Linked DNA regions of Arabidopsis thaliana. The protein of the gene in region 1 purifies or fractionates together with the protein of each later gene. This does not show direct contact. Each region holds a gene or a part of one and is shown in the gene's direction. Other genes may lie near its edges. The genes, in order: DJ1B and AT3G20390.

Region 1 (5,175 bases):
ATCTCCTTTCAAAATTAAAAAGAAAATATCAAAAGAAGATAGAGGAGTACAAACCAATTTTTTAGGGTTAAATTTTGTATTATAAATTATCGGACTCAAAATGTTCATCAATACAAAGCAATATATCATCAATGCAAATCTTTACTTTGCATCATTTTCAACATGCAAATCTCATCTTCACTTGAAAACCTTCCTTTGGTTCTTCTCCTTCATGTCTTTGTATGCAATATGGGACATTATACACATATTTTTTCATCGATTGAGTAATCTATTTTAAAAATATTTGAATCACATTATATGCATAAAAAATCTAATATTTTATTAACTATAAGTATTTTATAGAAATTTAAAATAAATTAAATAAATAAAGTCAAATAAAAGTGAAAGAAGAATCATATATTTATGTTTAAATTAGATAGATAGGTTTTAAAAAATTAGCAATTAATAAAAAAGGCAATGTTTGTGGAGTGCTAAATCTTTTATTTTGATATTTTTTGATATTTTTATATTTTAATAAAAAAGGCAATGTTTGTGGAGTGCCATTGTAAATAAGTTGAAAGGCTAAAGTTTTTTTTATCTCAAATATCTCCAAAATTAATTATATCATTTTAAAATATATTAAATAAACTATTTATAAAAAATTATAAGATTTAGAAATTAGTTCTAAAATTAAACATTTCATTAATAAAGTGGGATTATTTGGAAATATAATAAATAAAACTATAATAAAGTAGGATCATGTGGAAATATAATAAATAAAACGTAAACATATTATTAATGACATTAAATAACATAAGATTTACCAGTGCATGATTCTTACCTATATATATATATATATACAAAGTTTGTAGTGAACATATATATAATTATTTATACAAGAAAAAATGAGTCTTAAAAAATGTGTTGTATTGATGGTGGTGGTGTTGGTAGTTATGGTTGCTATGGTAGAAGAAGTAGAAGGGCTTTCATATGCTACATGCATGGACCTTTGCGAGACCAAGTGTAACTTTTTTTTTACACATCCAGAAAAATACTGTAAAGATAAATGTGACCGCAAATGTCGTAGACTTCAGTCAGCTCAATCATCCCAGTAATAATCTCTTCACTTGTTTTATTTAGTTTGATTAAAAAAATATTTTGTATAAAGAAATTGACATGATTTATATAAAAAAATTGCAGGATGGAGACTATAGAAATGAGAAACATAAATGGGTAGATAAGTTGACAAAATAGTCGAGATATTTGTAAGATTGATGAAGTTTTCATATCAATAAAAATATTTTTTAAATTATAAAACTTTTTTTTATACCAATTATAAAAGAAGCAAAGATTAAAAGAAGATAGAAGAGTGAAAACCAACATTTTTGGTTTACTTTTGTAGTATTATAAATTATCGGACTCAAAATGTTCATCAATACAAAGCAACATCTCATCAATGCAAATCTGCACTTTGCATAATTTTCAACATGCAAATCTCATCTACTCCACTCGGAAACCTTCCTTAATTGGGTTCACAACTTCATAAGTTCACATCATAGATCTGTGTTATTGGGCTGTTTTATGGCTTGTAAAAGTTGGACTAGACCCACTAATCATTATAGCCTGGACTAGGCATGTATTTTCTTTTCTTTCTCCTACAATATTATCTCTCATCAATACATCAAAACCACAACAAGTTTATGAACAAAACTCTGAACCGGGAAGTTGTTTTCTGATAAACCAAACTACACGCCGTCTTGAGTTGATTGATGACGTGTTAAAAGATTAATGGCTGATTGTCATTTTCCATCCAATCACATTAAAACACGTCAGGATAAAGCCCGTTTCATCACTGCTTCTCTTTCATCAAAAGTTCTTTAAGGAAAAAAAAAAACGTCAATGGCGTCGTCGTCGTTGTGTCATCGCTATTTTAACAAAATCACTGTCACTCCCTTTTTTAACACTAAAAAACTCCATCACTATTCTCCGAGACGAATCTCTCTTCGTGTAAATCGACGATCCTTCTCTATCTCTGCAACTATGTCTTCATCTACTAAGAAGGTACATCGTTCTCATCGATTTCGTTCTTATCCCTATCGATCCTGTAAATTTCTCTTGATAAATCTGAGTTTTCTTTAGGTTTTGATTCCTGTTGCTCATGGTACGGAGCCGTTTGAAGCGGTGGTTATGATCGATGTGCTACGGCGAGGCGGAGCGGATGTTACGGTGGCTTCCGTTGAGAATCAGGTCGGCGTTGATGCTTGCCATGGAATCAAAATGGTCGCTGATACTCTTCTCTCTGATATCACCGACTCGGTTTTCGACCTTATTATGCTCCCTGTACGTCTCTCTCTGCCAATCTGAATCCATTTGGTATCGAAATAGTTTCTCAATTAGATGTATTGATTTCATATTTGTTTTGGTGATGTGATTGGTTAAGGGAGGACTTCCTGGTGGTGAGACTCTTAAGAATTGTAAACCTTTAGAGAAGATGGTGAAGAAGCAAGACACTGATGGACGACTTAACGCTGCTATCTGTTGTGCGCCGGCGTTGGCGTTTGGTACTTGGGGACTACTAGAGGGTAAAAAAGTATGTGTGTAGTGAGTGATCAGTATCCAAGAAGTTTTCTTTTCTTTTGAGTTTGTATTTTGGTGTATAAATCACATACGTTGCTTGCAGGCTACATGTTACCCGGTTTTTATGGAGAAACTAGCGGCTTGTGCGACAGCTGTTGAGTCAAGAGTGGAAATTGATGGGAAGATAGTGACCAGTAGAGGGCCTGGAACTACCATGGAATTCTCTGTCACGCTTGTGGAGCAACTTCTTGGGAAAGAGAAAGCTGTTGAAGTCTCTGGCCCCTTGGTATGTCTTATCCCTGACTCTTCTATCAACCTTAATTTGGTCTCCAAATAATCGACAGATCTTAGAGGCCAGTTTCTGTTGAGAAGATGGCTCTCCGCAAAGAAGGATATATTTAGTAGCTGATTCGAGGGGAGCACTTATTTGATTTAACACTCTTTAAAGCACCCTAGTATTGTTAGTTCATGTAAAAAAATACAAATACGTGTTTTCGACCTCACTAATACTGTGATTTCCTTGAAGCCTAGGCCTGTGGCTGAATTTTTCAGCATTATTTCCCCTGTCCACTGATCAGTGACTGTTCTTGTGAGATTACAGACAGTTGAAAGCTATATAGGACACTGAAAAATTTAGGTTTCCACAAAGAAACAACCATTCCTTGGTAGCATAGGCTTTATTCCATGGTAACCTCTTAGTCTCTATTCTTCCCCTTTGCATATCAGGTGATGCGTCCCAACCCTGGTGATGAGTATACTATTACTGAGCTTAACCAAGTCAGCTGGTCATTCGAGGGTACCCCACAGGTAGCTTTCAATTGCCTGTCTGGCAAAATGAAAAGAAAAAAAAGACTGGCAAAACTTTTCACACTTGCTTTACTGAGCTCATGCGTCTTTCTTAATCAATCTTCCGTACACTGAGAGATCATGTTTTTCCTTTTCAGATTCTTGTACCCATTGCAGATGGCTCGGAGGAAATGGAAGCTGTTGCTATCATTGATGTCCTGAAGCGGGCAAAAGCAAATGTTGTCGTAGCTGCGCTTGGTAACAGTTTGGAAGTGGTAGCATCTCGGAAAGTCAAGCTGGTGGCAGATGTGCTTCTCGACGAGGCTGAAAAGAATTCGTACGATCTGATTGTGTTGCCTGTGAGTGCTAACTTCTTCAAATTACTAAAGTTTATAGTGTCAAGCAAGTTGAGGCCAACATGATGAACTTCTCTTTTTATTATCAGGGTGGTCTCGGCGGTGCTGAAGCATTTGCAAGTTCGGAGAAGCTAGTGAATATGTTAAAGAAGCAGGCGGAATCAAACAAACCATATGGAGCAATTTGTGCCTCTCCTGCTCTGGTGTTTGAGCCACATGGTTTACTCAAGGTACGAGAGTAATCACAATAGCACACACATTTGCTTAGATGTGTAGGATCATTACTATATATCCGATGGCATGGAGTATTCTGTTATCAAACCGTTATTTTTGCACTTAAAACTAAGGGAAGGGTCACAATTTTTAATGGATTTTTTTACAGGGTAAGAAGGCAACAGCGTTTCCAGCAATGTGCAGCAAACTGACGGACCAGAGTCACATCGAGCATCGAGTCTTGGTGGACGGCAATCTCATAACGAGCAGGGGTCCAGGAACCTCATTGGAGTTTGCACTTGCAATTGTAGAGAAGTTTTACGGGCGCGAGAAAGGACTTCAGCTCTCAAAGGCAACACTTGTGTAAACTCATGAGTATCTTAGGTAAGAGTGACTTTAATAAGAAAAAGGCTTTAGTATCAAACGATCAATGAGTGTACCGTTGTTGTGGTGAGCTTTGTACTAAGTGTGATGCTTAAAACTGTCTTATAAATAAACGAGTTTACTCTGTTTTTATCAGAAAGTTTTTTTGTTACTTTACATTGCGAATTTTAGAATATAAGAAAGTGCTGAACAAAAAGAAAGAATATGAGAAAGTAAAATTTCTTATAAAATTACAAAACAAATTGAATTATATCTGCAGATCATTGTTATTAACCTAGCTTCTTGTTCTGTAACATCTGTACCATAAGATGAAGAATCCAAGGACTCTGTACCCGACGATGAAACTTGCCATGATACCAAGATTGCTCCATTTCTGAGACTCTTTGAGGTCTTGTTGTTTTAAGAACACGTCTCCTCGATACTCGTTGATCATCAGGCATTCGAATGGATACTTGAAGAGGCTGAGATAATGCATGAACTCCCAGTAAACGGGGATCCTGTCCTTTGCAATGAAATACCCGGAGAAGAGGAAGAAAGATCCCATGAGACCTGAGATTACTGATGTCCCCATTATGAAGTTTGGGACAAGAGCACTGAAACATGCGACAAAAGAGTTTGACATCAGAAGAACAATCCATATCACCAATGAGAAGTAGAGGAAGCCGTCTAGCTCTCTTCTGAGACCGACCAGCCAATAAACCGGCGTAGCAAAGAGCATGCTTATGATCAACAAGAAGGGAATGAATATGAGAGTATCTGCTAAAACGTAAGACAAAACTCTGTAAGCCCTTCTCGATGTCTCTCTCATTAGGATTCTCCTGTCTTGCAAGAAAATTGGAAGTCCCTCTGTTGTGGAAGATAGCAGGAAAGTGAGGATAAA
Region 2 (4,842 bases), on another chromosome or scaffold:
TTATCCCATCCCTTCCCATTTTCATATTTCAAAACTGCATTAATTTCTCCATTCAATTTTCTTGCTTTTATTTTATTTTATAAAACATTTAGATTCTTCTGTGGGCGCAAGTTCATGCATGCGCCAATAGAGTCGCCAATGCAATGTAGATTAGAGGTATGGGTAGTTCAGCTTCTTAAATGCAACTCCTCCTCCTTTCTCTCTTTTTTCCTTTATAAATTGCTCTTTTCTCACACTCCACACCACTCTCCAATTCAAGCTCTCACCCCATAAATAGACAAATTCAAAATATCTTATAAGAGAAAGAAAAAAAATCAATTAGTCTTCCATCTTTTCTTCATGGGCATTTCTAAGATGATTCTTCTGAAATTCACATATGTTGTTTCTTTCTGGATTACTTGCGTGATCTTCAAAATGTCAAGAACGATAAAACGAGCTTTGTTGGGCTCATTCATCTTCATTCTTGCTTCCGGTAAATTTACAAGTTATCTTCATTTTCTTATCATTTAATGCTGTTTGTTCCCCTTTTTTTTTTTGAATTCTATAGATGCTTGCTAAACTAACGTACTTTTAAAGATGAAACTTGAGACGCCATCTCATTGGTTTTGGATATATGTACTTCATTGACATGTACTTACCTCTCATATATGAATCCACACATATGTATACTATATATAGTTGACAACTTGACATGAGTGTTTGATAAAAGAACTAAAACATATTAACAAAAAGATAAAGAGAAAATTCTTGAATGGATGCGATGTGTCAAGCAACTTCTACTTACCATAAGAGTCTGATGTGGGATCTTCTTTTCCATTTTCTTAGTTTTTTCCTTTAACCTGAATTACTTGTTGTCTATGCATTCCTTAATTGAATTTAATAACTTATCTTATGTATGGATTCTCTACCCTTAAATTCTCATTCTTTAAGAAAAGTATATCTTTTTGTCAACAATATCTTCATCCAAATTCTTAGAAAAATATACTTTCTTTTTGGTATGTATCATTTTAACATATCACATTGCATTGTTTTCATTCCACATTCCATGTTAAACAATTTTATAAGATCACGAAATGTCATTAATTTTGAATGTAGCTAGTGTTGTGGTAGCCGCCATTGTAGGAGCCATCGAAGGTCACACCACTGACATCGGATTTCTTCAAGGTAGTGTGCTTGGAGTGGTGGCTGGAGTTATCACTGCGGTCCAACTCTTTGGACCGGTGCTACATAGTGATCAACCTTTGTCTAAGGTGATTGTGACTCTACATATAACCCTAGAATCTAAAAAATAAATCACTAAACAACCATATGTTTCTAGTTAAATAGTGGGAGTGGTCCTGTAATTAAGAAAGCTAGCTAAAAATGAATGGTATTCTAGTAACTAGTTATCTGAATAAAAGATGATGTTATGGTAACAATAGTTTGGTGACAAAAATATGAAAAGAGTGGCAGGTGGCTTTACTCAGGAGAGTAGTGAATGGGAAAGCCATTATGGGATTGGTTAGACCTTTTGTTCTCAAAGCATATCAATGGCAAGTAAGTACTCTCCATTCTTTTTGTTCTTCTGACTTTTTTTCAACTACGTCTTTTTATTTGACAAGAACACGATATTTTCTAACGTAAAATCAGAACCATAACAAAAAGCGTTAAACTAAGTATATTTTACAAAATTTTAACTCCGGTAATATTATAATACAAAATGCAGATAATAGCATTGGATACAAGTTACATGGAGAGTTCAAACTTATACGATTTCAATCATGAAAAAAAGGGACTATCGAAGAGCTCTATTCAGAACATCCCGATGTTCTACAACCGTTCAGAACATCAAACAAAATCGAGTTGCTCGATTTGCTTACAGGTGATAAAAATGTAATTAATTAGAATCATCTAGGAATCAGATTTTAATATATGATAATAATGACTTAAATCATATATATTTCTAATGTTCATTTTTGGGGTGTGTAGGATTGGGAAGAAGGGGAAGTAGGAAGAAAGCTAGCAAGATGTGGCCACACATTTCATATGAATTGCATAGATGAGTGGTTGCTTAGACAAGAAACTTGCCCCATTTGTAGAGACCATCTTTCACATAACACAACTTCTACATAACAATATGTTGTGGATAAACTTCACAAAGCTATGGACCGACATGACCCAACGGGTCCAAATTTTTAAAATTTGCAATCCAACTAAACTACACAAAAATAAAAATTAAATTCTCAGTAATATATGTACCTAACTAAGGGTAAAGTGGGAAATACAAAAAAACATTTCGAAGAGAAGGAAGAAGACAAAAGAAGAAGCACGAGAATCATCTGCTTAAAATCCAATCGCATCGACTCAGTCTTCTTCTTCTTCTTCACCTACCTTTCTCTCTCTCTCTCGTGGTCCATTCGCTATTCTATACTTCTTGTCGGCGCCGGAGAGAGTGAGATGACTTGGTCGGTTTTCAGATCCATAAATACTCCAACACTCGACCTCTCCACCGCACTTCGCTCCACTCGTACCCCATTGGTCGCTGCTGGTGTCGGCTGCGCAACATTCGCTGGTGTTTCTCTCTTCAGAATGTCTTCTAGATCTCCTCCTTTCGCTTCCCTCTCTGTCTCTGCTTCTTCTGGTGACGATTTTACTCAATTTTCTCCAATTTGGACCGATATTAGTACTTTCTAAAGATGCGATTTTTATGAATGTCAGTGTCAAAAAGTTGAAATTGATTTCAGTTATCATCAATGCATATGTTTGTTAGTATTGGGTTTTAGTTTCTTTCATCTTCCGTATTGAATGATCAAGGGTTTGAGAATAGGGTTTTTACTAAAGAAATGTGATGTTGTGTGTGGTGTGCAGTGAAGAAGGAAGTTGTGTCTACTGAGAAAGCACCAGCTGCTTTGGGACCTTACTCTCAGGCCATTAAAGCCAATAATCTGGTTTTTCTTTCAGGTGTTCTTGGACTTATACCTGAGGTCCGTATATATAAGATATGAAACTGTGTAATCACCATGTTGTTTCTCTTTTCTGTGTTCTAAGATTACAAGATTTGCTCTTTTTGTTTTGTGTATATAGACTGGAAAGTTTGTTTCGGAGAGCGTCGAAGATCAGACTGAGCAGGTTAGCTTTCAAACTGTCACCGTAGTCTCTATAAAAATTGGTTTTGTTTAGAGTACTTTCCACTTGCTTCTCTGTTTTGGTGGATGATTATCCACAGAAAAGGAGGTCTAGCCTCTAGGTCGTCATGATGTTGTTTGTTGGTGAAAATGTAGTGAGGGATGACAACTTAATGTGCCTTATTCTAGCTGAGTTTATTGGGATATAAACTTTCATGATACAAAACTAAGCCTTTGAAACTTTTGGGTTTTGCTTTAAAATTCTTGATTTGGTTGGTATTAGTCTTCAAATTAACTTGTTCCAGTGTAGTTGTAGCAAGGTTGAGTTGCTCTGTTTTTCCTTCCTGATTTTATCTACTTGCTTCTATTATCTTATGGAATATCAAAGGTACTCAAAAACATGGGGGAGATATTGAAAGCTAGTGGTGCTGATTATTCCTCGGTGGTGAAGACAACAATCATGTAAGGGATCTTGTTTTTTTCAACAGTACCATTGTCCATTTGAATTCTGAATCTAAATAGAAAGAAAAACAATCTCTTCTGGTTTTCTCTCAAAGGTTGGCTGATTTGGCTGACTTCAAGACAGTGAACGAGATATATGCCAAATGTGAGTTCTTTAACAAGATTGTTTGTGTTCCTACTTTGTTTGAGATGCATAATTATTAGTGGAGTCGTTAAGGGCATGAAACATTTGTCTCTGTTGCAGACTTCCCAGCTCCTTCTCCAGCACGATCGACGTATCAAGTTGCAGCTTTGCCTCTAAACGCCAAGATCGAGATTGAATGTATTGCAACACTCTAGAACACTCAAATCAATCTCTACGAAGGGTATTTTGGTCCGGAAGATGTCAAAACAAATAAGAGAAACAATGGTTTTTGGGGCTTAACCCATATTTAACCTACTTTTCATTTTGCTGCACTACGAAAAATGTTGCGGATTATCAACCATTAGGTTGGTTACAAATCAAAAGCCTCTAATCAAGAATAAGTTATTTAGTGTCTTGTCCACCCTCATTTGCTGTTGACGTATATGTATTGATTGTATACATTATTTTATTTGAGTGAAAACCATTATGCTTGAAGAGACAAGAGTTAATAACTTAATATGGTCGTTAGAAGAGGAATGATAATTTAATATTGCTAGAGAAAGAAAATATATGTAAAAAAAAATGCAAACACAAATTACCCTTTATTATTATTAGGTGGTTTGGTAACAAAGGAAAAACATGGAGCTTCAAGTTCCTATAGTTTGAGAAATCTAACTAGGGTACCACTTGGTTGAGGAAATGCCCTCGAGTTGAACTTCAACCTTCAACATATCATTCACAACAAAACCCTTTGATGAATCTCTGAGATCAGCTAGAGGGATAATCTGAAAGTCGCCCGAGTAATAAAACCAAGAAGTGTACCAATTACTAACTGCGAAAAAAGAAAGTAAAATCCCATTAGTCAATGGCGATGAGATGTTATATATCCATTTTCTTACGTACCTTGTATTTCGACGTTATTGAGTTTGCGTTGGTTAAGAACTCGAAGCTTGGCTCGAACATAAATCATCTCAAAGGGTTTGAATTTATCGTTAATGTTAAGATACAGCGACATGGCTTTTCCCTTTGAAAGATTACGACCATTCGGAAACACTTGTAAATACCTGATCATCATATAAAACAATAATTGTTAATTACTACCACTATACTCTTATAGCGCAAAGTTTTTACTTCTGTAATGATGTGGTACTC

Evidence for each region.
Region 2: the proteins of DJ1B (region 1) and AT3G20390 fractionate together in Arabidopsis thaliana (co-fractionation; one large-scale study listed by BioGRID). This does not show direct contact.

The regions. Positions count from the first base shown.
Region 1 is NC_003070.9:19,864,045-19,869,219, reverse strand, and holds DJ1B (Class I glutamine amidotransferase-like superfamily protein), read left to right. Parts: upstream 1-1,830; 5' UTR 1,831-1,878; coding exon 1,879-2,040; intron 2,041-2,118; coding exon 2,119-2,319; intron 2,320-2,419; coding exon 2,420-2,569; intron 2,570-2,659; coding exon 2,660-2,842; intron 2,843-3,282; coding exon 3,283-3,363; intron 3,364-3,500; coding exon 3,501-3,701; intron 3,702-3,787; coding exon 3,788-3,928; coding exon of another isoform or gene 3,929-3,940; exon of another isoform or gene 3,941-4,080; coding exon 4,081-4,278; 3' UTR 4,279-4,450; downstream 4,451-5,175. Other genes in the region: AT1G53282 (Plant thionin family protein), read left to right, coding at 885-1,090, 1,180-1,216; ABCG10 (ABC-2 type transporter family protein), read right to left, coding at 4,570-5,175. UniProt on the Arabidopsis thaliana protein: May be involved in oxidative stress response.
Region 2 is NC_003074.8:7,109,290-7,114,131, reverse strand, and holds AT3G20390 (endoribonuclease L-PSP family protein), read left to right. Parts: upstream 1-2,202; 5' UTR 2,203-2,232; coding exon 2,233-2,620; intron 2,621-2,847; coding exon 2,848-2,963; intron 2,964-3,063; coding exon 3,064-3,108; intron 3,109-3,492; coding exon 3,493-3,566; intron 3,567-3,661; coding exon 3,662-3,711; intron 3,712-3,810; coding exon 3,811-3,905; 3' UTR 3,906-4,246; downstream 4,247-4,842. Other genes in the region: AT3G20395 (RING/U-box superfamily protein), read left to right, coding at 340-472, 1,096-1,250, 1,453-1,536, 1,706-1,861, 1,969-2,112; AT3G20380 (TRAF-like family protein), read right to left, coding at 4,362-4,522, 4,594-4,754. UniProt on the Arabidopsis thaliana protein: Hydrolyzes the Ser-derived enamine/imine product of Thr dehydratase, protecting the plastidial branched-chain aminotransferase BCAT3 (AC Q9M401) from inactivation. Involved in Ile biosynthesis.